Mus musculus: one gene and its partners. The protein of the gene in region 5 interacts with the protein of the main gene of each other region in a pairwise test. Links are inferred from orthologs where the notes say so. Each region holds a gene or a part of one and is shown on either strand. Other genes may lie near its edges.

Region 1 (5,339 bases), on a different chromosome or scaffold from region 5:
GCCAGGGCTATACAGAGAAACCCTGTCTCGAAAAACAAAACAAAACAAACAAACAAAGACAAACCTGAGCCTGAATTTTAATTTACTCATGTATCAGGTGATCTTAGAGAAGAGTCTTAGATACTCAGAGCTTCAGTTTCCCGTCTCTCTCTGCGGGGTTCTGAAGATTAACAGAGTGGTAGACAGTTGAACTTACATTTTGTTTTCGCCCTTGTTTAGTTTAGCAAGTACCCATAGGGCTGAATTTAGTGAACTGATAAGACTCACAAACCTCTTGTGATTGACCGACTGATTGATTGATGTACGTTTTTTCCAGGCAGGGTTTCTCTGTGTAACAGCCCTAGCTATCCTGGAACTCTCTTTGTAGACCAGGCTGGCCTTGAACTCCTAGAGTTCCGCCTGCCTCTGCCTCCCATGTGCTGGGATTACAGTCATATGCCACCACGCCCAGCTTGAGCTGTGATTCTTCATGAGTCTTTGGCAGGAAAAGAGAAAACCAAAAGACCAAACTCTTCTTACCTGAAGCCTCTGGTGTTCTAAGAGTTTTCTTTGAGGCTGTTTGGCTTGTAACAGGTCGGGAAGAAGGTTCATCCTCTACAGCACCAACAAGAGGTAAAATTCAAGTTAGATGACCTGGGAGAGACCATGGCACACAGTATGCATATTTACCAGTAATCTATACAGAGAGATGCAAGTATTCAACTTCTCTAGGTTCAAAACTTGGGAATTAAACCAGTTAGAAATCCTATTAAGACAGAGTATGATGAGGGCTGGGGAGAGTTCAGTGTTTACGGGCATTTGCTGCTCTTTCCGAGGACTTCCGAAGTCCAAAAGGCTTACGATATTCTGTAGCTTCAGCTCCAAGGGACCCAACACCATCTTCTGGCTTCCAAGGCTACCTGTACTCACGTGCACATACTCACACAGGTACGTGCAGCTGCAAACCATGGAAGTGAAACAACATACAAACCACTACTTGTTGCTTTACGACAAAAATGCTACTTTAGCAAGTTAAAAGGTTAGGCCCTTGGTCCTGTGAAGGCTCTATGCCCCAGTGTAGGGGAATGCCAGGGCCAGGGAGAGGGATTGGATTGGTTGGGGGGGGGGGGGGATATAGGGGAGTTTTCGGAGGGGAAATGAGGAAAGGGGATAACATTTGAAATGTAAATAAAGAAAATATAAAAAATTAAAAGGTAGGTTCAAGAGTCAGGTAAAAGAAATGTTTAAATCCTCTAAAAATGTATAAAAGGTAAACTGAATTTAGGTGCAGGAGGCTCTGTGGGAAAGTCAATAAAAAGTAACAGTTACATTGCCTCCCATGTGCAAACACTGTCTCAGTTTCTGAGACAGAATTAACACAAGTACCTAAATTTCGACCAGGCATACATGCGTGACAGGTTCCTTTTTTTTTCTCCCAACTTTGCCATCTTAAAAGAAATGCTGACATGTATAAGCAAATAAACTGTCTCCTTACATCCAAAAGAGCATGCACATCTCTAGCATAAAGTTTCCCAAATGAACAGATCTTCAAGTGTGTCAGGACTTTAAGGGCAAGTAGGTAAATCTGCAAGCCAGTTTACTGTGCTCTAAGCTTTAAATCCACTCCTGTTCAGATGCATCAAATGTATTAGGGAGGCCATCCCACTGTGACTCTAACCCTCAGAATTTTACCTCATAATTAGGTGACTGACATGGGGCTTACTGGAACCACCTGTGACTCAGTTATATCCGAGTGCAGGGAATAAGAGGATGGCTTGAAGAATTTGGTTCATCTGTGTGACTTAACTAAAACTATAGTACACACCCTGTTGGCATCTGGGGCTTCATATATAAGCTTTACTAATAAATAGAACCTTGTTTTGTTTCAGTAGTTTGTCAGTCTTGACTTGTTTAGCTACTTAAGATTACCGTGATGGCCTCCAATCTGGGGGGAAAGTCTGGCAGAGACCAGACTCTGTATTTGGAGTAATGTCACCAACCCATTCATTAAAGTCAGCTACTCCTCGTAGCATCCGCCTAGAAATGATCTCGTTTTCCCAATCTTGGTGAAAAAAAAAAAAAACGAAAGAAACCGACTGGAAAGTTAACTTAAAAACAGGATTTTCAGCTGGGGACTTGGGGCCCCCGAGATTTAAAAAAAAAAAAAAAAAAAAAAAAAAGGAAATGGAAGTGGCTTCAGTAGAAACTTCAGAGGACGGAAATGAAACCGAGCGCAGAGTAGTTTGGGGCTCCGACAATGGCTTAGCCGCCGACCTCTAGCAAAAGCCTACAGAAAGAGGAGACCTAGACCCCCCAAACTGAAGCTCCAGGACTAGGCAGAGCTGCCCGCCTCCGCTCGGGTCACTTCGCACCACCACCTTCCCGCGCGGCCCACTGCGTCCTTCCCTCTTGAGGGTCCGGGTGGACTCAATCCGGGAGTGCGCGCCCAAAGGGCCGCAGAAATCACCAGGACCCAGGCGGGGCCGGAGCGGGGCCGGCCTCCACGGGGGCGCGCCTGCCGCCGCGTGCCCGCCGCCGCGCGCGCTCCCGAGCCCGCAGCCGAGACTGTTACCTTCGCGGTCCTCACTGGAGGACGGAGAGTCCCGTAACCCTCGGCCGCTCGTGGCCGGAGACAGCTGCGGCTGCTGTGAGTGCTGCTCAAGGCGAGCAGACCTCCGCGTCTTCATCTCCTCGGCTTCCTGGGCTCGCCGCTGCCTCCGTGGTCGAGAGCGAAGGTTGTAAGCGCTTTCTCTCACTTCCTCTCCCGCAGAAGCCGGCCGGAACTTTTCTGGCGGGGTTCGTCTCCCCCCCGGAGACCTTTCTTTGGCCGCCCGGGGCTCGAAGTCGCCGTACACTTCTGCCGGCTCCTCTGAAAACCTCACTTCCCGTCGTCCGCGGCGCGACGGGTGAGCTCCGTACGCAGGCGCGTCACTGCTGTCGCCATTTCGCGGGTCGAGCCTCCGCCTTCCCTCCCGGATGGGGGCTCTGGGTGTGACGTAGATGGCCCAACCTTCTCCGGGCCCCTCGGCCTGCCACCTTTCTCCCGCCATAGTTGTTTACGTAGCTGGTAGTCGGTTCGTGGCGATAGATTGGCCGCAGATAGATTCCGCTGCGGGTAGTGGCGATGGCTTCGGGGAGGTTGTCGCAGTGGTCAGGGAGGCAGTTGAGAGTCGCCGGGGCCGCCGCCTGCGTCCTCGCTCGTGTGCCACCAACCAGCCTCCAGGCCCATGGTGTGTCCTGAGGGCTGTCGGAGAGGCAGTGCCCGAGCTGGGTCAGCTGCTGCGGGTCACTCCCGCCTCCTGGCTGAAGGCACCAAAGAGGAGGAGAAGGGGGAGGAGGACGTCTCTGTCCTTGGCCTTGGAGGGAAAGGTGGGGGCGACCAGGAGGTGGTAGGACAAGTGGCCTGTGCCAAGCTGCTGATGGCCAGTTGCCCACCACCGGGGGCGCTGGTCCTGGCTCCCAGAGGCTTTGGGAAAGGGCAAGTTTCAGTCCTTGATCCCAAGCTGTTGCGCAGTTCCCCTGCTACTTTGGCCACTCCTTTTCAAATGTCCCTGGGAGGAGAAATGATCAGAAAGGCAATTCTGCATGTCATCTTATGGCGAAAATTATAGTTTCATGGACCTTTATGAAATTGCTTTTACCCAGTTTAAAATTTTTATTCACCTGTTGACCCTTTAAAATTGTGTTTAGTTACACTCTTGGGGTGTGTTTCCATTTTTGAGTCGTAGCCATATCAACCATATTCTTGAATTTTCACGTGAATGGTATACCAATAAGCTATACCCTAGCCCTAAAAAAAAAAAAAATCGATTTTGAGTTTTTATTTGGAAGCCACATAACAGTGATTTTGAAAAAAAACTTAAAAGTATTTGCCTTTTTCCAGTATTTTAAATAATGACCTTAAGTTGTTACTCAAACTTAGACAAATTCCCAGTTACTAGAATTTTCACAAATAGTCTATAAATTTGGTCAGCAACACAGATGACTCAAGAGTCATGTTTGGAGCTTCATTTAGCATTGTTTATTAACTACAAAGAAGGGGAGCCATAAGGAGACAGCTGCCCTTTTTTTAAAGATGTGTGTGTGTGTGTGTGTGTGTGTGTAAGTGAGTGAAAGGAGGGAGGGAGGGTGATCTCTGCCTGTCCTGGAACTGTAGACTAGACTGGCCTCAGCCTCACAGAGATCAACCTGCCGCTGCTCCCCAAACGCTAGGATTAAGGGTGTGGGCCACCACACTTGGTAGCACTTTTTTAGAAAACAAAACTTAAGGAAAAACGAAAGTGATACTCATTCGTGGTAGCCTGAAAACTGGGTGTGGCTTTTTTTTTTCTACAAAACGCTGAGAAGTACTGATAACTTGGTAATGTTTGGCTTGTGTCTTTTCCAGTAATGCTTTGTTTGTAAAGTGCCTATTTACACAGTCAACAATCACAAAAATTCTTTAATAGATGTACAGCAGTGAAAGGATATAAATTTTTGTAGTGTTTATATTCTAAGCTCATAAGGCAGTGTGTGCAACAGATGACTAAAGACACCTGGGTGCTGGCTTGTTAAACTCTGGTTTGAAGGATACATGAAAAAGAAAGTGAAGAGGTTCTATACATAATTGGTCAATCAGAGAAAATGAGAGGTTACAAAGATTATTGGATAATTGGCATGTGCTTTGTTTTGTAATTAAAAGTACTTATAAAGTAGTTTTATGAGTGGCTTTTTCAAAGAAAAAATAAGGATGTTAAAGTTTAGAGGCAGTTAACTTCGCATTTAACATAGATTTGCTTAGGATTTTTCCCTCTTGCCTAGGTCATAGGTATGTGTCATCTTTAGAAGCTGTCACCCACACCTAACAACTTTGCAAAAAACAAACTTGGATTACTATGAGTTAAAGCCAAATTCTTGTCAAACCAGATATTCTGCTGTAGGTGTTTTCCAACCTCTTTTGAGCCAGCCTTGAATATATTCTAAAAGATTATTATAGACAGTAGATTCATTTCCAGTATTATAAGAGATCTTTCTGGGCCATGAGTGTGACGATCTGAGCTTTGAACTTAAAACAGTTTCTTTGGGAACTAGAAAAATGTGGAAGAATGAAGAGTTTTACTTAGAGAATTTGCCATATGTTAGAGAAGACAGATGCACAAAAATAAACTGGTATTAACTGGTATGTGTATCTGACAAAATTATTTCTAGAAATCCTGTGTTCTTTATATTGGCTCTCTAAATTAAGCAACTTTTACATTAAAAAGAAAATTGTGTATAGGTGTTTTGCCTGCATGTATGCCTGTATACCAAGTATGCCTAGTGCCAATGGAGGCCAGAGGAGGGCATTTGACCCTGGAATTGGAGTTACACAGTTGTTAGCC
Region 2 (4,664 bases), on a different chromosome or scaffold from region 5:
GACCATGAAAGAGTGAAGTCCAGTGTGTGAGCCTCCACAGCTTCAGAGTGGCTGTTCTAACTACACACAAGGCCATCAAGATATATTGCCTAATTTTGTGTGTGATTTATTTTTATTTCCAAGATTTTATAAGGTTCATTTGAAAAATTTTAAAAAATCAGTATATTCAATATCATAAAAGGCTGATTCATTCTAGTGAATTAAATGTTAAATTCTAGGAATTAAATGTTTTAAACATAGACTGACTGCTAACACTTCGTGACATTGTAGCCGTGACACCAACAAAGTCACGCAAGGAATATACAAAAAGCTTTGGAATTTAGATATAAAAGCCCAGGTTTTTAATTATAACTTAAAAATATAAAAAGTCTTGAACCTGAGCTTACACTAAAATATACTTCAATTCTTTATTTAACCTAAAAATATTTTCTAAATAACATGGAATTTAAGAGTAGCTTTCCTAAAACATATATTAATGTGTCCTATTAATATAAAATTACTAGGCTGAACTTTACAAAATGGAAATGGAAATATCAAGAAAAGTGTAAAGAGCCTGTACTGAAACGTCTGCTCGTCCTCGGGTTTCTAACTTGGGGCAGCGCCCATCTATCTAACACTGTCATAGACAGACACAGTCCTACCACTGCTCAAAGCTCTTTCATTATCAGCGGCAGCCCATTACCACCCCACACCCTTCCCCCAGTGGCAGCCTCTGATATCTTTTTTTCCAATCTCCTTTTTTATAATAGCCTTCCTAAATCACTACGATGAAAGTCAATCCAAAAAATAGGAGGCCTGGGGCACCTCCCCAGATGAGCAGGAACACCGTGACTGATAGTGTAGGAGGAGACTGAAGAAACAGAACCCTTAGGGAGGAGGCACTTGCTACTGATATAATGCTGTTTATTAGATGCTGGATGCTATCCGTGGTCCACAAAGTTAAACTAAGGCCTTGCCTGTTTAAAAAACCATCCTATATATATTTAAATCTCTTTAAAACATTAGAGGAGGAGGCAAAGAAGAAGAAATGAAAGAAAATACAAAATTTATTCTCTGAAGCAAACAAAAATAAATGGGAAAAAAATTCATTGTGAAGAGAACAATGAAACTTGTCCTCCTTCACTTCTATTTCTGGGAACAGAATATTTCACAGGTAAATCATGTTTCATGTTTTCTCTTCGAAGACATGTTTTCGAAGAGATCCTTACCATATAGCAAAGTTGGGTTTAGAAAATTATTGCTGAACCCTAAAATGAGGGGTTAAAAACAATAAATCCATGTTTAAGGATTTTGGCAAAATAAAAACACATACCTAGATTCAAGATGAAAAAGGAAACACTTGTTCTCATGACATAATTGTTTTTGAAAAATCAAGATATTTTTCATGATTGTTCATATTTAAGAGAGAAATTCATTTCTGCAGAAATATTAGTATGCAGTGATTCCATTTGTCCTTATTAAAATTTAATTATGAAGGAATAAAATGAGTCTTTTTCCTTAATCTTTTGTTAGGAGAGTCTCTGGCATACAAACTGCTACTGTTTTTCCCACTATGAAAATAAAACAAAATCACACTTTCCTCAAATTTTCATTCTCATCAGAAAACAAAAAACAAAACACCAAATTCAAACCCACTCTGTACACAGTGAACTGTTCTCCAAGAGCTAGGAAGAAGTGGAAGTGGGTCTAAGAAGGGCACGTGTTTGTCACCACGTGTCCAGATGCTGAATCCCTACCAACGCAGGGCCCTTTGATGGTGAGAGCTGAGTGCAGCCTTTCAGGCACTGCCCTGCTCCTGTTTCCTAGGGGAGGAAGCTTTGGGCAAGGCCCTTCCAGTGTTTGTCCTCACAAGCTCAGAGACTCGCTGCTGCCTCGCTGCCCCTCCCCCACCCCTCACTTACTTTGCATCCACGCCACCACATTTGCCTTCGAAGCTGTTTGGATCTGTTGCTGAAAGCGGTGGCATTATCCGATAAGCTTTCTATATCACACAGGGTAGAGAGAAGGATTAAATGACATAACAGCATTCTTTTATATAGTCATACAAAGATAAACAGTAATACTACTTCTTAAAATTTGGTTCCCACAGAGTCTGTCAGTCTCCATTAAAACAAACAAACAAACAAACAAAACAAAGGAAAACACAGTGGAAGGTCAGTTTGTCAACTCTCCCACCCTCACCCTGACACCCACTCATGATTTCCAGAACTCTTCTTATCCACGAACTTAGTTCTGGTAAGAAAATAAGAGTTTAAAAATAAGCTGGACACAGAGCCTGACGACCTAAGTTTGACACAAAGAGCCCCACGTGATGGAAGGACAGAGTCAAGTCCCTAGCTTCCACATGCACACAATTAATGTAATAAAAGTTTTTAAATTAGGGGCTGGGGATGCTGCCCATGGGCAGATCCCTGATGTACACACTAGATCCCACACCAGAAACAAAATAAATACTTTGGCACATCTCTAGAAAAAATTTGCACACAAAAAAAAATTTTAATTTTTAGAAAACAAAGATAACTGATTTTGAGTGAAAAAAAAAAATCAAGCAAATCTATCAAGAATGAATCTGGCATACAGCTATTCACCATTAACACAGCAAGAAGGGCTAACATGTGCCAAGAGCCATTACAGGCTCAGACTAACATCTGCCTGTAAACAACAGTTGCTAAGTTTCCAGGGAAGCGTAAGTCATCATCCAAACAATACGCGAGGTCCAAGTGTGCTAGGAATCATGGGCACAGAGACTAACATCTGTGGGAAAATACAGACTACCTGAGTACCAGGGAAGACTAAATAGAAATAGCAGGCAAGTTTAAAAGGAGTACTAAAAAAAATGGATTAGATTTTAACATCTTGACATCCGAAGAAACACAAAGTGCATCAATATGACAGGGCAAGAGAAAAGAGGATTTAACTTTTTGGCAACGAAGTTTTAAACTCTCCATTCTTGTCTCAGTAAGAAGTAAACAGTACAATAATTTACATTAATGGGCAGAAACTAAGCCATGGAAATCCAGCTTAAGAACTGAATGTTGATCTCGGAAGCCACGATTCCTGAACACGGGCGGGTGGGCGATCAGACAAACGGAAAGTAAGCATTAGCTACACACAGTCACAACATCAAGAAGGGCAGCGAGTGGCTGTACCTGATTTGTCCTGTAGTTCATCCAGCCTCTCTCCTCTTTCAATTACCTTTGTAATATTCTCTTGCATTACATCAATAACTTCATCCACCTGATTCTGAACACTAGTTTGAAAAAAAAGGTAACATTTATTCTTCTTTTAGAAAACCCCACACTTTTAGAACTTTTACTAGATGTGGCAAATTCTCAGAGAACTGAGAGTTGTCATTAAACTATAAAAGTAAGCAGCGTTCTTCCATTTCTGGGTCTGAATAGCCAAGTAATTAAGGACAAAAGATACACTTTAAAGTAATACTTAACTGACAGCTTATTTTTAGTCTTGATTCTATCTTCAATGTAGCTCACAAGCAAACCAGACACTGACAGAATGCTCAGTGTGACTCTAAATGTTTCATCTTCTTGTCAGTAAAGTAGTGAAAGACTAGTTAAAACTAGTAATCAGAGTCCACCTTCCTCTGCAACGCACTCCAGCCACAAGACTTACCACGTGCTTCACCGGGTTTACTGAAGGCTAATGAGAAATAGCTAGTTCCCAAAATGGAAACGTACAGCACCCCTCTGAGCCACAGGATACCCAATGGATGTAACTCTTCAGTGCTCATTAGTTTTCTCTTCAGCCTAGGCAAGATTCAAGACAACTTGGAGCACCAAAGAATATTGGGAAATGCTCACTAATAGGCAAAAACAAAACAAAACAATTCAGTGTATAAATGAAGATGTTCTCCTCCTTATGTGATGGGAGCCTCTTCTAATCACACTCAGAGTGGTTAATGAAAACTGAAACAAGCTGAAGAATTAGTCAGATGTTCTCAGCTATCTGTCATTTAGGAGTTACCTCCTACAAAAACACAGACATACTTGCATGTCTAGTATTCCTCTGATGTTCTATCCATAGACAAATATCTATCTTAAATTACTTTATATAATAATATTTAAATAAGAAACATTAAATAAGAAATATATAAAAAGATAAATAAAGTGAATCTCTGGTCCTTATAACTCAAAAAATGTGTAAAGCATAATAACTATTAGCAACTATATACACATAGAAACCCACATATATTTAAGCAAATAAGAATATGTATTTGTCATTGTGGGTATGTGTATGTGTGTGTGTGTGTGTGTGTGTGTGTGTGTGTGTGTGTGTGAGAGAGAGAGAGAGAGAGAGAGAGATCATCCGTCCTGTCCTACACTATTCCCCGCAAATTAGCCCAGTCATACACAATTATGAAAAAAGTGCACTATCCTTTATTTGAGCTAGTCAAGGTCGGTGCTTTAAAAACAAGGTGAGGGCCCACTCAGACATAGGTGATGTAGAGGCAGTGCCATCACATTTTAGGAGCAATTACTATGACTGATCAGCTCATCTCTCACCTACGTTAGAAACATTACATATACCCATGAATTATCTACAGTCTTCAGGATTCATCACAGCTTCCCAGAGTTCTCCATCCACACATTATTCTACTGAAGGCTGTAAGGCTAGCTAGCTCAACCAAGCAGGGATGTGCATAAAGA
Region 3 (5,231 bases), on a different chromosome or scaffold from region 5:
CAGGCAGCCAGGGGAAGAGGCAGCCAGCCTAGCCACCACCCTGCAGCTGACCATGCAGCTCAGCTGTGGCCCTCCCTCACACCCTCTTATCCTGTTTCCTGCCAGCCCTGCACTCCCCCTCGCCTGCTTCTCCCTCTGTTCCAGCAGTGACAGAGTCTGATAACCTCACGTTACACGTTTTCTTACATGAGACCTTTGTCTTTGCTAGGCTCTGGTTTCTTCCTCTACAAGTATGGGATGTGGCATCCTGTGTGCCTAGAGTCTGTGAGTCTCTAGAGGAAAAGCCCATAGGATAGACAAGAGGTTACGACCCTGGCCAAGACGCGTCAGGGATGAACTTGATAAATCCCAGTGAAACACGAGCAAGTTTAAGGCAAGATGATGCTTAATGAGATGGCTCATACAGGGAAAGAAATCTGAATTATCTAGATGCCCGCAGTGGTCTCCAGCCAGGTACCGATGGGTGCAGTGTGGCCTGCATTCAAATCTCAGTTTGTTTGTTTTTTTTGCAAGGTTCCCATAACTTGGGTAGAATCTGGGCAAATTTCATAATTACTACATTTACCAAAGGCTTCGCCTGCAAATAAATCCTATATTTGAGTTGAAGGGAAAGAGCAAGGAGCATCCTTATTACTGGAAAAACTGAGCCCCAAGAAAAATATCACCCAGGCAAAGGAGCTAAAGACAGGAGCTAGGGGGTGGCGGGGCCTCCATCCCGCCCAGTTTAATAATCAAGCTCTGCATGCCATCCAGGCTAACGGAGTGGGGTGTGGGGGCACGGTGTGAGGAGCTCAGAAGGAGGGAGGGGGCACTGGGGTGGAAGGGCGAGTGTCGTGTACCATGCAATCCTAGCCGCGGGCCCTCTGCACGACCCTGTGCTGCAGTGATGAGCTAACCAGTCCCCAAGGATAACTCTTTGCTGCCCAAGACAGCTGCACCAAGGACAAACAGTCTCTGTTTTAAAAGATGGCTTGGAGAGGAGCAGCTGTTCCTAGGACTAGAGCAGAACTCCAGAACTGTCCATGCTCCACTGGCTGTTAAGCCCTTCAGGGGAGAAGGCAGGTGCGGGCAGGCCCTGGGCGGTGCCTAGAGGCTGGGATAACTAAAAACCCAAAGACATGGGCCACAGTCATGGAAGCCAGGGTGAGGATTGAACTTCAGGAAGCCTGCTGATGCATGCGATCTGGGGGATGCTAAGAGATCACCAACCCTTGAAGGTCACCCAGAGCCTACAAAGTGTTTCCAGGGCCTCCAAATAGTCCTCACACACGGCTATAACCAGATAGCGATCCCTGCCACCTTGGCCTGCACACACAGACCAGGCTATCCCCCAAAGGGTCACATTAGGTAAGACACTGGAGCCTCCAAATCTGGGCTTCCCCTCTGACCGCCACCAACTTCCTCCTCAACCAGGGCCTGGTCAGCCTTGAGAAAACTCTCTCTGCCTGTGGCCCTGTCCTGTTGCCTGGTTACCAGCCATCCAGGGAGTCCTCCTGGTAAACAGCCAGCACTCCAATGTGACATCCCTTCCTCTTAACTCTTATGTTAACCTGCTGGGGACAGGGTTCCTCTCAGAAAGCCAAACCTTCACCCTCAGAACACACAGTGCTGGTCCTGAGATAGCCGATCTGTATCTCTGTAGGGCGTGCCCATGTCCCAACTTTTTTTTTTTACTTGGTTCTGGTTGGAGATTCTTCTGATAGAGCGCCCCCACCAGCTTTATGACAGCCATCCCTTCTCCTTGTCCTAGGAGACCCCATACCCTTTCTCTCTTTTCCTGTGTGTTTTGACTGTTCCAAGCAATATCTTTAGCTTCCGGAGTCCTTGAGCCTCTTGTATGGAACCAGGGTGAGACCTGGCTTCTGGGGACATGCCTTAGAGGAGGCCCTGGGCAGGCACAGTCGCCCTTCACTACCTCCTTCCAACTTCACTTAATTTGCCTCCAGAATTAAAGCCGCATCCTTCACCCCATATGTGGAGTTTATGTCCTGAAATTGCCCCCAAGGTCTGAAGCTGGCCCGACAACCAAGACCCACAGATGCAGAGCTCTCTCGGATGTCTCCCTTTCATACCACACAACACCCCACAGTTAGCAGAGTCACGCAGACACTGCAGCCTGCATAAGACAGGGAGACATGCCAGAAGAAAGCATCAGTTCCCAGTGTTCTAGAAGGCTTCGAGCCACCAGTCTGACTTGAGAACTGTCTGTGGATTCTGGGGTCCCTGCAACCAAATCTTTCCCTGCTCCTCACTTTTCATCATCACAGGAAGTTCAACTCTTGTTAACACGATTCTTGCCCTCCGCCCCCCACCCCCCGCCCCCCACTTCTCCGTTCTAGGAACCCTCACTAACTAACTCCCTGCCCCTGTCGTGTCTGTGTGGGGCATGTCTTGAACCCTGTCCCTACCTTCGCTTGTACTCGTCCCGCTCCCGCTTCACTTTGGCCAGCACGTTGTACAGGGCACGGATCTCAGGGGTGATGGTGTCGATCTGGACGCCCACCCCGTCAGGGTGTACCCACGACAGGCCAGGCCCTTGCACCAGCGTGGGTTCCAGTCCTGGTCCAAGCCGGCGGGCGTGAGAGAAGGACCAGATGGTGCCAGGCATGAAGCGGGTCGACGAGGAGAAGGCAGTGGATGTGGAAGTGGAGGATGATGTGTGGCAGGCGGCAGAGGATGCTAAGGGTCCAGCTGGCGAGCGGGAGGGCGAGCCCAGCACCCGCGCTGATGGGGGGCACACGGCGGCCGGCCGGGAGCTCAGGGGCAGCCCCAGGGGCCGGATCGGGCTGATGAAGCCGGTCTGTACCGCCTGGTCACGGCGGGCCAGGCCCCGCCTGCCCTGCTTACCCTCCTCTAGAGCCTGCTGCAGCTGTTTCTCCAGCAGCCGATTTCGGCGCTCTAGCTCGTGCACCTTGGCTAGGAAGCAGCGAAACCGGAGGTTCAGGGTCTTCAGTACGTTGATGTTGGAGCCTAGGTCGTTGCGGAGAGCCATGGCTGCGGGGGGCGCCGGACCAGGCCCCGGAGGCGAATAGGCAGAGGGGCCGGCCGAGGCAAGCGGAGCCGAGGCTAAGTCCCCTCCCCCGGCAAAGTGGTCACCTCCCAGAGGGTCCCCCAGCGGCCCGGCCAAGCCTTGCTGCTCCTGCTGTAGGAGGAAGAGGTTGGGACCAAATAACGGATTCATGGCTGCGCCTTCTGCCGGGAGAAGGAGACCAGTGCAGCAGAGGGTGAGGAGAAGAGCCAATGAGATGCTTGTGGGATACGAGTGACCAATCAGATAGCCCGGCAGGAGGGCAAAGGTCATAAGGGAGGGAGCAGAGGGGGCCAATGAAAGGCCCTCATTAGGGCATCAGCGCTGAACCTTTCCCGGGTCTGAGGCCCCATGAGTGGGGTCAACCCCGGCAGGAGCCAGACTAGCCCTTCCCGGGGAGCCACAGCCTAAGATTCTGACTGTAGGCACAGGACCTCTGGCTCTTTAGAGACAGTCTTCCCTACTGCCCTCTCTTCTACCTGGTACCCTGGGTCGGACTCCTTTACTTTTTCCCATGAAGACTAAGAAATGGAGGGAGAAATTTACCATTTGAATAGTCATTTGAATAGTGCACAACTGTCTCTCCCCAGAGAAACCCAGGCCCACTTTCCTACAAACCGCCAGTACCCAGTCCCCTCAAAAAACACAACAGCAACTAGGAGTGGTAATATGTATATTAAATTTCATATGTATGCACAGGGGGAGGCCAGCCTTGCATCAGGATCTAAAAGTTCCAACCCAGAGACAATGTCAAGTTTCCAAGTCCATTTAAGACAACAGAGGCTGGCTGTTGCCCTTTGTCATTGATTTCCTCCTTTTTGCTGGTGGGGGCCTGGTGGAACTGTGGGGAGACACAAAGGGGGCTGAGGGTCCCTTGGAAACAGCATCTTCTTTCAGGGGAGCAGCTCCATTAGCAGGCTGCTGTGCTAACTGCTGCTTTCCTTTCTGTTTCTTTTTGGCTTCCCCAAGGGATGGAGCACAGTCCTTAGGCCTTGGGGCAGCACGGATTTCAGAGGGAGTCGGCACAGGAGGTGTTCTCGAGTCCTCAACCCTGGAAGGGGCGCTCGGCTTTGGGACAGCAGCCTCCTTAGAGGGCTTCCACTTAGGTCCCCGCTGCTTCAGCTTCTCAGACCTCTTTCGTTTGCTGTTCACGTCAGCATTCCCAGCAGACTGACTGGGCCTGGTAGACACTTGGGCATCTGGGACAGAAGGTTCAGTGGACAAGCCTGGCCCTTTGGCGATGCCGTTCAACTTCTGGAAGGGCTTCTTGGAATGTGGCTGTCTCAGCAACTGCTGCTTTGCCTTCACAGCCCCACGGGCTTTCTTGGTGGGCTGACTACCGTTCTCAGACTTTGGGGTGACCTGATCCTTCAGGTCAGGCTCTGTAGGGGTAGCTGCTGCCGAGTTTCCTGAGGTAAAAATTAAACAGATGGCTTGATCATTAAGAAACAAGGCAGGCAGATTTCTGAGTGAGGCCAGCCTGGTCTACAAAGTGAGGTCCGGGACAGCCAGGGCTATACAGAGAAACCCTGTCTCAAAAAACAAACAAACAAAAACCAAGGCAGTTGCCAGGCAGTGGTGGTGGCACAGCCTTTAATCCCAGCAATTAGGAGGTAGGGCCAGATGGATCCGAGTTCCAGGCCAGCCTTGTCAACAGAGCCAGTCCCAGGAGAGCCAGGACTACATAGAAAAACCCGGTCTTCAAACACCAAAATCCAGGCTGGTGAGATGGCTCAGTGGGTAAGAGTACCTGACTGCTCTTCTGAAGGTCCGAAGTTCAAATCCCAGCAACCACATGGTGGCTCACAACCATCTGTAATGAGATTTGACTCCCTCTTCTGGAGTGTCTGAAGACAGCTACAGTGTATTTACATATAATAATAATAATAATAATAAAAAACCTGGCAAAAAAACAAAAAAAAACCCACCAAAATCCAAAGAAACAATAACGAAGGCCCACACCTTAGGATAGTGCCCAAAAACTGACTACTCACACTAGTTCATGGTTTTTACTGAAACTATTTGCCCCACACGTTTTAAGGGATTACTACTCTTCTTGTCAGGTTTTCAGAGGAAGCTGCTCCCTCAGGAGGGCAGTATATAACAAGACATTCTAAGGAGTAAGTCCCAGGCTCTAAAGCAAGCCTAAAGCACTTGCTCGCTTGTCCTATCTCAGACTGTCATGCAATGTGGGGAACCTAGC
Region 4 (4,074 bases), on a different chromosome or scaffold from region 5:
TGTGTGAGAGAGAGAATGTGTGTGTGTGTGAGAGAGAGAGAATGTGTGTGTGAGAGAGAGAATGTGTATGTGTGTGTGTGTGTGTGTGCGAGAGAGAGAGAGAGAGAGAGAGAGAGAGAGAATGTGTGTGTGTGTGTGTACACCAGAGGTCAGTGACAGGCTTTTTGTCCCCTCAGTGACACAGATACAGACCAGATTAGACCAGATTAGAAGTAGATAAAGGCAGGTTTATTAGGAGGCTGCTCTCAGGTGGGCTCACTGATCTCACAGGTGTGAGAGATCCAGGCCAAAGCAAGGGGATCTTGTAGAGTTTAGGTTGGGAGTGCTGCCATGCTAGCTAGGAGCTGGGATTGTGTCCATGCATGGTCAAAAACTGAGCCCCCAAATGGGCACTCTTGGGCAGGCTGTCTGAAACTCAGAGACAAGGAGCGCTGACATGTTAGCTTGAGTATTCTCCAAGCAGACAGTGGAGATTTCTTTAGGTGGGTGGGGTTGGCAGGAGGGCAGATGTAGTTCCCCAGCTTGTGCAGGGGATAAGCAGGGGTTCCAGGCTAACATCCAATCTTAGCTGAATTCCCTAGCCACTGTCCACTTTATTTTTTGAGGTAGGGCTTTCAGCAAATTCCAGGAATCTGCCTGTTTCTTCTCTCTCCAGCACTGGGATTATAGACAAAAGCCAACACACTGGGTTTGTATTTGGGTGTTGGAAACCCAAACTCAGTTTATAACAAAAATCTTCAGTTAGCAGGGCACTCTGGAACATAAGTACAACTATACAAAGGACAGACCTTTCTGCCGTAGTAAGCCAAAGTATAAATCAATTTCCAAGTGAATTGTTCAAGCTGGCAGTTGTTACAATTACTACTAATTTATGTAAATTACTCTAGAAATGACACCCATTCTCTCCTTTGGTTCTTAATAACAACTGAATAAGGTGGAAAACGGAGACAATTATAGTCCTTTTATAGACAAAGAAACAGAAATCACGGCCTAAGATCACCCAGCACATAGAAGAAAACGGCTTCTGACCCGGGTCCAAGCTCTTGCCTTCCCTGGCATTTCACCTTCTGTAACCTATGACAGGCTGTGTTGAATGATTATCAGGTATAAACCAGTCCTAGGGTTCTGAACCTCATAGCTGGTTAGGCTCTGCTTCACTCTACATAACCTTGAAACATTTGCTACAGGCCAGGCCTGGGGCCCCATACGCTTAATCCCATTACTTGGAAGGTGGAGGCAGGAGGATCAGGAGTTTAAGGTCATCCTTAGCCACAAATAGCAAATTTGAGGCAATCCTGGACCAAAGGAGTCACTGTCTAAAATAAAACAAAAAAGCCGAGGATGTAGCTGTTGGTACACCACTTGCCTAGCAAGCACAAACCCTTCGGCCCACCCCAGCACTGCTAAGGAACAGGGTGTCGAGGGAGCGAGTGCCCGTCCTGGTGCTTTATCCCAGCAGAGTGCTGGTTTAAGTCCAAGGTTCCCGGCTTTTAAAGTGAATAAAAGCTGGGCGTTTTTATTACACACCTTTAAACTCAGGAAGCAGAGGTAGGCAGAGCTCTGTGTGTTTGAGGCCAGCCTGGACTACACAGAGTGAGTTCCAGAACAGCCAGGCTATGTCTCAGAAAACAAACAAAAATTTAAAAGGATGCTAAGATGTTTTAACTGTTAAGAGCACTTGCTGCTCTTGCAGGGGACCTGGGCTTGATTCCCAGCATCCATATGGTAGCTCACAACTCTCAGTAACTCCCAAGGCACACATTCATACACATAAATCTAAAAACAAACACACAAAATGAATAGAACAGATGAAGGAGAGGGGGTGGTTACATTCAAAATATACTGTATGAAATTTTTAAAGAATAAAAGCATTGCTGGAGAGATGGCTTAGTGGTTATAAGTACTGGTTGCTTTTCCAGAGGTAGAGATTATGTGTGTGTGTGTATAATCTCCTCCTCCATATATATCCTTCTGCTAGAAACATATAACACATCCAGGACATAATACTGAAAATGTTTTGTGAAAAGATCTCACTGCACCCATATCATCCCTTTAGGGAACTGGGATTTCGGCGGTTTGTTTATCTGGATGCTTCTCTACATCTGGAGCATCTGTCCACTGAACTTCAAACACGGTTTGCTAATGGACTGCTAAAATCCACTCCTAACAAAAACTGATAAAACACACTTGTCAGTACAACTTATCATCTGAAAGTTGATCTTTTATGAAAACTATGGGCACATCAGTTGTCTTCGGGGGGGGGGGGGGCAAAAATAAATGTAAAAATCAGAACTAAAAAATTATTTATTCCCAAGATATACTGGAGAATAAATAGGAAGTAGAGTTCTGTTCTTTGCATACTCTAGAAATAGCTATAAAAAAACCACTCTCCAATAAAGTTTTGCAGCAACCTTTAGTTGGGGCAGAGAGCAGGGAGGGTCTACAGAGGACACCGCATTTCCACCCGTCCTGCCCGAGACGATCGGACAGCCCTCAGACCCCTCCGGGCTCTCACATTACCGACGCCCGCATCTGCCACACTTTCTTCTGTTCCTCCTCCTCCATGGCCGCCGCCAACCCCGCTGCTACCAAGGACTCTAAGGAGTCTTCGCTTTCGTACTGGGCGACCCTTGCTCCGGTGATGGGATTTGCAGACAGGAGAAGGCTGGCTGCCGCCAGTCTGGCCTCCTGGTGCGGCGAAGCCATCGCCCCGCCTCCAAGCCCAAGCGCCCGCGCCCGCCCAGGGCGGCGTGCAGGCGCTGCCACCTAGCTCACAGATCCTGGCTTGGGGCGAGCGGTTACTAGGGGCTCGGTTACTAGGGACGCTACAGGAGGTGGCGACGGACCATAACGCACGCAACGTCCTTTTTCACTGTCACAAATGCGAACCCCGAGTCCAGCTAGTGTCTAATGATGGTTTCTGATACAAGCCTGCGGTTTCTAGAAGCATAACTGTCTGAAGCTACACAAACGACTACCACAGCAAGCTAAAGTAAAACGCAATCTTCAAGCTAATTGCTCAATGGGAGTCTCACCAGCGCCGGAACAATTACTGATTCACTTGAATGACACCCAGGTCTCCGGCAAGGGACTGAGCTTTTCTCTGGTTTCTAGCTTTATTTCTGTCTAACTACCTAAACGAGAACTTCTCGCGGTATACGGACTTAAAGCAGAAAGCGCGTTTTAACTAGCTGGATCAACATATTAGGGCACAGAGGGACAGGAAGGACCGGGTGTTGGGTGACCATCCCAAGAAAAGAACAGGCTTTGCAGCGCGCTATTCAACATGGCGGAGAACCCAGTTCATCTCTAATTGACAAGAACCAGCGGGTTGACCAATCAGAAGGAGAATACTTATTTGTCCCACCCTCTTTTTTCTCGACTGACCAGTAAGACACTAGACATAGGAAGTGTCTGTCACTCAGACCAGTGAGTGAGATGTGGTAGCTTGTCTAGCGGTTCTGCAGCTAGCTTAGCGGCAGATTAGAGGGGGCGAGAGCCTACAAGGACCACACCCTCCCAGCTCAGCCCTGCCAACCTCCTGATCGGCCTCAGGTTTTTGGCCACTTTGGATGCTTTTTCAGTGAACTCTCAGCCACCTGCAGCATAACACTTTACTTAGAACCCCAGCTAGCGCCCCTGTCCCCACCCTAAGGTTCCAGTACTTTCCACGTTATGCGGCACACCTTCCACAGAACCTGTTTCTGACGCAGTTGTTACCACCCCTTCCTTGTTCCCCTCTGCGAAGCACCTATCACCTTACCTTCCCTGCCTCCTGTTTCAAAACGGTTGAGCTTGCCTTTTCCAACGGAACTGATGATGGATACTGGTTGGTTCTGAAAAGCTAGATGTGGGGAGGGATCCATAGCCATCTGAATGAGAGAATAGTGACTTTCTGCCAGCCACATGCAACTAGTTCTGTGATGGGACTTGGTGTAAACAAGACCTATTGACAGACTGAAGCCCTGTAAGTGGGATGGTTTTAGGAACATGAAATAGTAAATAATGGATATGAAGGACATCAGTGTGTACATAGAATAGGAAAGTTTCGGCTGACAGTATTCTAAATTTGCA
Region 5 (5,451 bases):
TTCCCCAAGTTGTGTCCTACCGTGCACACCGTGGCCCATGTGTGTGTACTCTCACACACACTTAAATAAACCTCAAGATAGGGGAGACGATAAAGGGACCCCAGGATGCTGTGGAGAGAGGATAGCCGATGCAGATATGCAGACAGTCTATACTCCCTGTCTCCTGTTGTCTCTTATAAAGCCACTAGGGTAGGAGGGGTGGCGTCTGAGTCATTCATGCAGCTGTCTAGCTGGAGGAAGGCTTGCCCAGCCCTAAGCCTGCGGTGAGCCTTCCCTCGCTTCCAACTGTCCCCTTCTCCCAGCTTAGATGTCTAAACCTCCTGAGAAGAGGAGGAAAGAGGGAAGGAGAGAGTTGTTTTGTCTCCTCCCCCCTCTTCCCCCCCCCCCAGACAGGGTTTCTCTGTGTACCCTGGAACTCACTCTGTAGACCAGGCTGGCCTCGAACTCAGAAATTCACCTGCCTCTGCCTCCCAAGTGCTGGGATTAAAGGCATGCACCACCACTGCCTGGCTTTGTCCCCCCTCTTCTCCACCTCCTCCTTGTAACTTACAATCCACCTTGAAAAGCAGAGGCCTGTGGGTGCAGTTGAGAGACCCAACTTGAGCTATGCCACAGATTGTCACAGGGTCTCACAGTTCTGTCTAACTCCAAGCCTGACCCTGAACTCTGAGCTCCAATTAAACATTAAACTGGTCACTTTTCCCTACCCGGCCCCTGGTGGGAGGGGCTACTGGACAATGCCTTTCATCCTCCCCAGACTTCCAGGGCATTTCTCCACCTCAGTCTGAGCTCAACAGCTATAGAAAGGGGTAGCAGCCGTGGTCTTCTATGATGGACACAGAAGGTCAGGCACTTAGCCTCTGCTCCACCCCACCAGCAGGGACCTAGGTGTGTATACCCACCCCCTTCCCGGAAGCCCAGCCTCCTCAGTTACCATCAGTGGAGAATAGAGGCAGGTGGCTAAATTTAAAAAGTCCACACATCACCCAGCCCCTACCCAACGTGTGTACACACCACCTGGTGTCCCAGGCTGGACAGCTGCACTGGGGGCAGGAGACTGGCATGGCTAGATGAACAAGAAGCTATAGATTCCACTGTCCCTGTCCCCACATCTACTATACAAGTTCTACACCAGGATCTGCAAGAGCTTTGGTGGCTGACTTAACTAGTTTAGATCACTAACTAGTTAACTCACTGGGACTCCTCTAACTTGCCTCATGTATTTCTTGATAAGGTGTTCATATCCCTAGTGGATGGATGAAAAGGCAGCTAATTCCTGTTAGCAGAAAGAAAAGCTGGACCCATCTGTGCACATGACCTCTGCTCACACTTGAGGCAATGGGCTTGCCATACTCACCACCTAGGGCTGGAATCTGGTAAGGAATAGAATGACCAACCACAGATACACAGTGGGTTTTGTCAGAAGATAATGCAAAAAGGAAAAAGAGGAAGAGAAGTCAAAGCTACCAGCCCCTTAGGTATCAGTGCGCACGTCCAATGTCCAAAGCTCTTTGTCTTGGGTCTACAACATAGAAGAAAAGACCACAGACACAGAGCGAAATGGAAGTACAGGGAGCAAGAGCCCAAACTTCCAGGCTTTGGAAAGCCTTTTTAGAAAGTAGGTGGAGCCAAGTAGGGTGGGGTAGGGTGGGGTAGGGATGGGTGCAATGGGAGTGGCCTGAGGCTCCCTAACGGCTGGATTTCAAAAATGTCATTGTATTCCAGAGGTTTAGTAAGATCAAGACATCAACAGTTCAGAGGATGGGCCAGAGTAAAGTCTGGCTTGACTAGAAAAATGAAAGTGGCTCGCTGGCTGAGCAAGGAAAGGACAGAGCTTCCAAAACCCTTAAGTCACCAAACAGAGAGGGCCCAGACTGGGGTGTCCCCGACTCAGGCATAACAGAATTTCCAGAGCCATTAGCTTCTGTGCCCGGTCTCCCTCCCCACCCTCCCTTGCATTCCTCGACCAGGGAGGCCAAGGGCTGTGGGAGCTGCGGGGGAGCAGATCTCCTGGTGTGCTTCTGGTGGGCCTGAGAGTCTAGGAAAAGCTCCAGACATTCTCAGCTCCTAGAAAGAACCAGGAGAAGGCCGTGCTTACACAGCCATGGGAGAAAGGGGCTATGCAGCCTTGGTAACTCCATTACAGTACCACTGGACAAATGTCAGTGTGGGCGCTATGTCTTAGTGGACATCATGTGTTCAGAGCCACGTTGGGCAAGATTGGCAAAGTGCCAAACCTACCAAGAAAGTTCTAATAAAACCCTTTCACCCATTCTGATGTGTCCCGGGCGGCGTTCGGGAGTTCCAAGACCTGGTAGAGCCTGTTCTACCTTCCTCAAGCCCATCCCCCAAGCTCCAAATGACTGAAAAATCCCACCTTGACAGCATAGGCCCTGTCACCAACGCTACTTGGTCTCAATGCCCCCACCACTCTTTATATCCCCCACCCTCTCACAGAGACCCCCTCCCTTCTATGTCCTATCATGTCTATTACCCTTGGCACTGCCAGTCACCCGCGGGAGGCAGTTCCGGGGAGGGAGGGGACTAGATGGCCAGTTACAGGCGACTGCTGCCTCCCTGGTGCCGGCCGGCCGGGCCTCACTCACCGAGCCTTCAGCTCCTTGAACTCCTCACGCACTTTGCTCAGCTCTAGCTGGAGGCGGGCGCGCTCCTTGGCCACAGAATCAAGGGTCTTGCGGGCATCCCCCAGCTCGGCCTCGTAGGCCGCCTTGATGCCGGACACCTCTCGGCTGACCACCTCTTCAGACTCAGTGATGCGAAGGCGCAGCCCCGCGTTCTCGGTCTCCAGGGAACGCACGCGATCGATGTACACGGCCAGGCGGTCATTGAGCTCCTGCAGGTCCTCCTTCTCCTGCAGCCGGGTGATCCGAGTGGGCGACAGTGGGGTAGAGCTGGCCTGCGCCCCACTGCGGGTGGCGCGCCGCTGTGACGGGGTCTCCATGGCCGGCAGGGTGACAGTGCTGCCCGCTGGGCAGGGGTCCCGAGAAGGGCGCGGGACTTGGACAGAAGGACAGAGGCTGCTCAGGGGGACAGCGAGCCGGCGAAGCTCGCTCCTGGCAGGCGTGGAGATCTGGGCTGGGCGCTGGCGCACCTCGGGATCTGGGTTGGCTGGTGTTGAGGCTGAGGCAGCGTTCCCGCGAACACTGAGTCACTGACAGCCAGGCAGAGGCTCTAATAGGCCCTCCTCTACAGGGGGTGGATCCACTGCTCTTAAAGGAGCCATCCTGTACCCAAAGGGGCGGGGGCAGGTATGGTGAGGAGGAGCCAGCATGCCAACCCTCACTCTGCAGAACACCCCTTTCTGGCCTGGGGCTTCACAATGTTGGTTCCTGCCTACTCAACTCTAAGCTTGCCTTTGGCCTTCTGGAGTAAAGAGCAGAGCCAAAGAATTTGAGTGGGTGGGCAAAGGGTAGTGGTGAGGGACCAGGGGAAGTAGGTGCAAAGTGAGGGAGAGGATCAGGCATCCCCAGAGAGCCAAGGAAGTTGGGGGGAGGGCTGAAGCTGCTGCCCATCAGTGACTCACCCCACTTCCACCACTGGCTCCCCTTTCCTCAGTAGTAATAGTGAGTCACCTCTCCCCCGCGCACAGAAGCGGCCAATCCAGGAGAGTGGAATGGCAAAGGAATGGCTGTGTTTTTAGGTAACTGAGGGATTACTTTATGCCCTCAAATTTGGGGGCAAAGATCAAGGACCTCGGGAAAAAACAAAAAACAAAACCCAAACCTATGCACTTCCCTTATATTTTTGGCTTTAAAACCAAACATTGGGTTTTAGATCTAAGAAATAAGCCTCAGTCCCCAAGAGAAGGCCAAGAATAGAAGCCAGAAGTTGGCCCCGCCCACTCCCCCCTCCCCTTTCATTTGGACCTAGACAGCTGGAAAAAGGGGCTGCTGAAATCCCTCGTTTCAGCCCCTTTCTTCAGCTCACTCCACCCAACCAAATCCAAGACTGTACTTATTTTTTTCCAGGACTGTACTTATTTTAATGGATAATTTAAAACAGATACCAGAGCTGTGCTGTGCGTGCATTCAGCACATGGCCAGGACACCAGGTTCCAGATTTTTGTGGCTTCGAGAAGGGCCTGAAAAGAGGAACGGGGTCAGAGGGTTGTTAATGCAGGGTCTCCATCCTGGTTCCATCTTAAACGGTGTGAGCAAGAACAGCAAAGCTACCCCCTCCTCAGCCACTGCATGCCTGTCTAGCCAGTTCTGGGTGGGCCCTGACTAGATGATCTCCCAATACAGTAACCTGGTCCCCTGGTTCCATGTCCCGGGGTCTCCAGCCTCCATCAAAGACTCCCGATCAGCTGTCTAATCCTCTCCTGTAACCCTAGCCTAAGCCTTACTGGCCCTGGCATCCCCTTCTGCCATGTTCCTTCCCCTTTTGCCATGTGCTTTCCCCTGTCCATTGCTGATTAGCTTGCAGTTCCTGCAGGTCCAGGCAGTGGGCTTGAGTTGGGACTCTTAAGAGATTTTGTTGTTGCTGCTGCTTTTTTTGTTTTTTTTTGTTTTTTTTTTTGTTGTTGTTGTTGGTGGTGGGGGGGGGGTTTGTTTTTTTGTTTTTTTGTTTTTTTCTTTTTTTGGTTTTTCGAGGCAGGGTTTCTCTGTATAGCTCTGGCTGTCCTGGAACTCACATTGTAGACCAGGCTGGCCTTGAACTCAGAAATCCACCTGCCTCTGCCTCCCGAGTGCTGGGATTAAAGGCGTGCGCCTGGCGCTTTGTTTTTTCAAGACAGAGTTTCTCTATGAACTTCTGGCTGTCCTAGAACTCATTTTGTACACCAGGCCAGCCTCGAACTCAAAGATCTGCCTGCCTCTGCCCCCAGAGTGCTGGAATCAAAGGCACGTGCCACTGCCACTGCGCTGGGTTCTGGGAGAGTTCTTATTTCTGTGAGGGTGACTCCAGTGTGGTGAGGACCCAGGATGCATCTAGGGGAGGGAACCTAGGACATGGCTTCCTTTCCCTGTAGTCCCTCGGGCTGTGTGGTTGCCATTCAACTTCCCAGACAAAACAACAGCAAAAACCATTTCTTCTGCTTCTCCCTCCCCTACTTCCTAACCAAGAAGCAGAGGCGGGTGGGTGAGCCAGTGGTGGAACGTGAGCAGTGGGGCTCATGCTGTTCCCTGTTCCCGCTGTCTCAGCCCTTCCTACCCACCCCCCAATCCCTCCCTGGCCTGGCTTCTCTTCCTGGCTTCAGTAGCAAAACCACATTTAACCCTTCTTATCCTACCCGCCCCCATTTTGTGGAAAAGGTACGAAGGAGGGCTTTCATCCCAAACTGTACTGAGCTCTTAGCAAAGTATCTGTGTCACCACTACAATCAAGATGGCTTTAGTCCTAAATCTGATCTTCAGAGGGAGTCCTTCCACCCTAATCCCTAATTCTGTGTCCCAAAGACCAGTGTCTGCCTTCCTCTGTGAAAGCACAAAC
Region 6 (4,664 bases), on a different chromosome or scaffold from region 5:
TGCACACTTCCCAGACTCCCCAACCTTAAAACAGCATGTGCCAACTGAGCTACAGGCCCCTGATGAGCTCAGAGCAAATGGCTGTATGGATTCTGTTTCCTCTAAGTCAGGACTGGAAAGCTCAAGGGCAGGGATGCTAAGCCAGGTCAGGCTAAGGAAATTAGAACCCTTCAAAGCCCAAAGCAGAGCACTCCCCAGCCTCCAACTGAGTCCTTTTAGATAAAATGTTCTCTTGCTATTTCAAATCTAGAGAGATGGTGGTCACAGAGCCAGTGTTTTTAAGATGGGAACCTAACATGGCTTTCCAATACCAGGCAAGAACATGACCCTTTCAACAGCAAAAGCAAAAAACGGCCAAGAAAAACAGGCAGCAAACTCCTCAACAATATCGCAGCAATTTTTAAGGCCCCTTTAAAACATTTTCTGTGGTAAGAGTTAAATTTAATTAAAGCAACAACAAAGCTTGAAGATTCATGAAAGCAAGAAATACTGCAAGGCCCCCAAGCCAAGCTTTTGTGGTAAATGAACTGAATAGTTGGCAGGTATTACGAGTCCTCCCAAGCTCCACACTCTCCTATCCTGTTTCCTCCACAAGCGCCTCTCACTCAGCTGTCTGTGAATACTGGCCCTGTCTGGAGGAACAGATCCTCTACAGGAGAGACAGTGGAAGATGCACACCTGCCCATGCTCCAGAGCAGGCACTTCCCTCTGCTATGCTGAGCCACTCATAGCAAGATCAGCAATGATCCACTTTCCATGCATCAGACACAGAAAAAGACTCACTGGGCATGCTCAGAGCATAGTAGGTAGGACTTGAAACTAATATTAATTAAGCTAATGTTTATAAACTAAAATATTTCAGAAGTATGTTTTCTTAAAATATTAAAATCGGGGGGGGGGGGAAGCTATTAATTGAAAAGACATGCCACAAGTTAATGAATTAAGGGAAATACTGGCTGACTTTTGAATAAATGCCACAAAGTTTAAAAGACAAAGACGGTACCCATAGCAGCCTACCAGTGTATTCCAGAATCATGCTCCACAATGGTGTTTTACCATCTGGGGGAGGGAGGGTAGCATTTTTCATTTACTCCTACATTTATATTTAATAATTTATACATTACTCACAATTAGCCAAATTTTAAATAACTCATAAAAGATAAATAATGATGGCTCCTTTCTTTTGACTGCCTTGTTGCCTAGTCCCATTAAGTCCCATTAAGTCACATGATGACTCTATCAGGGTACTTACCCGAGCCCCAAGGCCAGCACATGAGAAAGGAAGAGAGATGGGATGAAAACTTTTAGGAACTCTGCAGAGAAAATGCCCCCTTTCTTCATGGCTCCACTCTTCCTCATGCTTAGAGACGCAGCACGTTTAGGGTGTCTGAAATGGAACTCTCTGGGGAAGAAGTTCAGAGGCTGGAATCAGACCACAAGTGCTGCAGATGCCGGGCCTGAGCAAGCCCCTCCACATGAGCACAGAAATCACACCGCCCGCCCAGACACATGCAGTAACTTACTTGGGTGGGATGTTTTCGGGTCTACTGGACCAGTCTGATACCCAGTCTGCACTTTTCTTCAAAGCCTCAACTTCCTTTTCTCCTTCTACAACTTCTTCTTCTGACTAAAAAGAATTAAACAGTGAGAAGAAAGGAACAAAAGAAACACAGAAAAGAACAATTCTTTTTAATAAAAAAACAAACTAAATACAAAGTTGTGTATTGGTGATTTTAATGGAGGAAACAAGCTGTTTTCTAAAACTGAAGTAGACTGTAACCCTGGAAAAGTCCTCTGCAGGGGTGGCAATGCTGTGGCCTTGGTGCTGTTGAACCCGAGGATGCACACGTAGTGTTTCACTGTGTCCTTCTCAACATTAAACTTCCTATGCTGTACATATTCCCAACTGCATTTAAAATAAACATACCAAAAAGGAGATGGGAACAAATTAAATCTGTGAGGAAGTTAGCAAAGGGATGTGGTAAATCATGAGGCTGCCAACCACCTGAGACCAGCATCTACTAAAGCCAATGTCACTCATTAAACTTTACCATGGTCAATTCCAAACAGAAACTGCTGCATTCCACTCTACAAATGAGGACAGGGCGTGTGTGCCTTGCTGAGGGCCTCGTAACTAAAGGGGAAGACTACTGTTTTCTAACCCAGGCAAATTGCTCCAAAGGCCCAGGTTTCTTACTCTCTGAAAGATTTTTTTTTAAAGATGAATATTTCTCAAGATTTTGAAAACATATTAGTCAAGTTTTTCTGGAATAAGCTATTTTGAAGTGAGCCAGAAGTTAACATCTATTGCAATAAATGAAAAATATTCTTTTTATTGCTAATGATAACCTAAGCTTTCAGGCCAGAAAAAAACAAACAAACAAATAAACAAACAAAAAACCATTACATTTCCACATGCCTTTTCTTGTTTTTGTTTCTCTGAGACAGTACCTCATTCTGTAGCCTAGGCTGACCTGGAATTCAATATGGGGCCAGGCTGGCCTTTGATCTCAACTGCTGGGATAATAGACTTGGGCTATCATGTCTGGAAAACTCTTTTAACAGAAAGGGAGAGATGAAAAATTCCTAAAAATGACACATTAGTTGTATTTATTTAGTTTCAAAGGAATGTGAGGCTGTGACTCCAAACCAGAGCCCCAAAACTCTGATTCTGACTGACAGCTGAAGCCACCTGGCCTCTTCACAGGACGCTTTCCCCATAGCCCCAGTTCCTCGGGACTCAGCTGTCTGGGAGTGTGAGCCTGGCTCTACACATCACCCCTTTACTACCAAATCCAAGCCAAAAGCTCAGGGGATGTTTGCGTCCCTTTGTCAGCACGGTCCTTATCTAGTTCTGCTGAAGTTGGCAAATTCCACCAACTAACACAATGCAGCATTTAAGACAGAGCTTTTCCCAGCAGGCACTGAGCTTACTCAGAATCATGAGCTGGCTCTGTGGAGCAACCCTGAGATCATCCTCAGGCAGAAGCCAATCAGCAGTCATGCTGCAAGCACTGAGCAGCATGTGTGCACAACATTTGTGAGTTTTCAGACTACTATAGGTTCTTCTTTTTTTTTTTTTTTAAGATTTATTTATTTTATGTGAGTACACTGTCACTGTCTTCAGTCACACCAGAAGAGGGCATTGGATCTCATTACGGATGGTTGTGAGCCACCATGTAGTTTCTGGGAATTGAACTCAAGACCTCTGGAAGAGCAGCCAGTGTTCTTAACCGCTGAGCCACCTCACCAGCCCCTATAGGAGATTCTTTTGTTTTCATTTTTTGTTTGTTTATTTATGACATGTAGAAGCCACAGGTCAACAGGTAAAAGCTGACTTACTCCTTCCACCATGTGGGTGCTGGGGCTTCAATGTGGGGTGGAACTCAGGCTGTCTTGCTGGTTCCCTGTTCTTTTGGTTTGGTTTCAGCAATGCTGGAGACTTAAACCCATGGCCTCCCACATGTTAGGCAAGAGTTTTGCCTCAGTAACTGCACTCTAGCCAGATGGTAGTTTGTTCTTAGTTCCTCCTTTGGCCTCCCAGAATGCCTGCTTTCTGGTTTAGCTTAGGTATTTTTTAACCAGTTAATATTTTATTCTTTTCAGAGTACAAACAGAGAGATTTGTGCTCTGAATTTTCGAATACGATGAGATTTCCTCCACGGGAATAAAGCAAAGTTACCATTGGAGTCATATAGTTATTTTAGTCTACAAACACATTTCTAACCTTAAACTCTAATATTAACATGATTCTACATTCTTTTATTGTCTGAAATTTGTCAATCCCAGAGTTTTGGAGAGGGGATGGTGAGACAGCCTCAAACATTCTTTAGAGCCTAGGCTGCCCTATAGATCTCATGATTCTCAGCCTCCTGAGTCCAGAAACTGCAATAAACCTTAACACTATGCTTGGTTCATTTTGAGATTTTAAGCCATCTTCCTGTGACTAAAGAATATGACAAAAGGGCCCCTCATCTAACCACACAGGACTCATGCTTTGCTCTTCCCTGGACACATGCTTCCAGTCAACTGTCTTCACCACCTCACAGTCCTTATCTTACACTCAGTTAATCTTCCTTTCAAAGTCTCTAAACCGGGATAGTAAGCTGCACGCCTGTATCCACATACAAATAAACCAGAGTCTCACAAGATAAGAAAGAAGCTACTTCCAAAGATCTCAGTTCTGCACTGGACCCATTCTCAACAACAACAGTGTCGGCATGAGAGTGTAAATGTTTCTTGCTACACAATGGGGCCTCATGAGTACCATCGTCCTATCAGTAAGAACAACGCTCTGTGCCAGCTTAGGAATCCCCACCCCACGGCTCTGCGGTCCTGTCAAGTTTCTCTGTGTGCCCAGCAAGCTCTCCTGGGACTAACTCCCTTCAGAGGTTAGTTCAGTGGAAGGACTAGATAGATAGATCATGGGCTTGGATTTGCTTTCAGTCCTGACTCCAACACTGACTTGCATTGTCATCTTAAGTGATAACCATGAGGACAAAGTGTCTCTCTCCCCATTTCCCTTAACTGGACTAAAAACACCACACTGTTAAAGTGTGAAGTTTTTGAGTTTGTTTTGTTTACATAACTCAGCACCCAGTAAGACTGGTAAGTACCTGGTATTTTTCCTCACTTCTTTCTCTGGACAAACCTATTCCTCTCAG

What was found.
Region 1: the proteins of Lmna (region 5) and Tor1aip1 interact in a two-hybrid assay, tested with the Homo sapiens proteins (2 studies listed by BioGRID). The link is inferred for Mus musculus from reciprocal best matches to the Homo sapiens genes LMNA and TOR1AIP1.
Region 2: the proteins of Lmna (region 5) and Vamp4 interact in a two-hybrid assay, tested with the Homo sapiens proteins (2 studies listed by BioGRID and IntAct, with this or other methods). The link is inferred for Mus musculus from reciprocal best matches to the Homo sapiens genes LMNA and VAMP4.
Region 3: the proteins of Lmna (region 5) and Iffo1 interact in binary tests that used the Homo sapiens proteins (3 or more experiments, as listed by UniProt). The link is inferred for Mus musculus from reciprocal best matches to the Homo sapiens genes LMNA and IFFO1.
Region 4: the proteins of Lmna (region 5) and Fam161a interact in binary tests that used the Homo sapiens proteins (3 or more experiments, as listed by UniProt). The link is inferred for Mus musculus from reciprocal best matches to the Homo sapiens genes LMNA and FAM161A.
Region 6: the proteins of Lmna (region 5) and Bnip3l interact in a two-hybrid assay, tested with the Homo sapiens proteins (2 studies listed by BioGRID and IntAct). The link is inferred for Mus musculus from reciprocal best matches to the Homo sapiens genes LMNA and BNIP3L.

Annotation. Positions count from the first base shown.
Region 1 is NC_000067.6:156,033,207-156,038,545, forward strand, and holds the start of Tor1aip1 (torsin-1A-interacting protein 1), read right to left. Parts: upstream 3,275-5,339; 5' UTR 3,030-3,274; coding exon 2,552-3,029; exon of another isoform or gene 2,458-2,551; intron 2,002-2,457; exon of another isoform or gene 1,984-2,001; coding exon of another isoform or gene 1,980-1,983; intron 1,612-1,979; exon of another isoform or gene 1,475-1,611; intron 595-1,474; coding exon 520-594; intron 1-519. UniProt on the Homo sapiens protein: Required for nuclear membrane integrity. Induces TOR1A and TOR1B ATPase activity and is required for their location on the nuclear membrane. Binds to A- and B-type lamins. Possible role in membrane attachment and assembly of the nuclear lamina.
Region 2 is NC_000067.6:162,586,782-162,591,445, reverse strand, and holds part of Vamp4 (vesicle-associated membrane protein 4), read right to left. Parts: intron 3,251-4,664; coding exon 3,150-3,250; intron 1,982-3,149; coding exon 1,902-1,981; intron 1-1,901. UniProt on the Homo sapiens protein: Involved in the pathway that functions to remove an inhibitor (probably synaptotagmin-4) of calcium-triggered exocytosis during the maturation of secretory granules.
Region 3 is NC_000072.6:125,143,207-125,148,437, reverse strand, and holds the start of Iffo1 (intermediate filament family orphan 1), read right to left. Parts: upstream 3,215-5,231; 5' UTR 3,182-3,214; coding exon 2,409-3,181; intron 1-2,408. Other genes in the region: Nop2 (probable 28S rRNA (cytosine-C(5))-methyltransferase), read right to left, coding at 3,797-4,437. UniProt on the Homo sapiens protein: Nuclear matrix protein involved in the immobilization of broken DNA ends and the suppression of chromosome translocation during DNA double-strand breaks (DSBs).
Region 4 is NC_000077.6:23,007,073-23,011,146, reverse strand, and holds the start of Fam161a (protein FAM161A), read right to left. Parts: upstream 2,801-4,074; 5' UTR 2,707-2,800; coding exon of another isoform or gene 2,521-2,706; exon of another isoform or gene 2,516-2,520; intron 1-2,515. UniProt on the Homo sapiens protein: Involved in ciliogenesis.
Region 5 is NC_000069.6:88,500,142-88,505,592, forward strand, and holds the start of Lmna (prelamin-A/C isoform A precursor), read right to left. Parts: upstream 3,212-5,451; 5' UTR 2,963-3,211; coding exon 2,607-2,962; intron 1-2,606.
Region 6 is NC_000080.6:66,987,883-66,992,546, forward strand, and holds part of Bnip3l (BCL2/adenovirus E1B 19 kDa protein-interacting protein 3-like), read right to left. Parts: intron 1,628-4,664; coding exon 1,524-1,627; intron 1,403-1,523; coding exon 1,253-1,402; intron 1-1,252.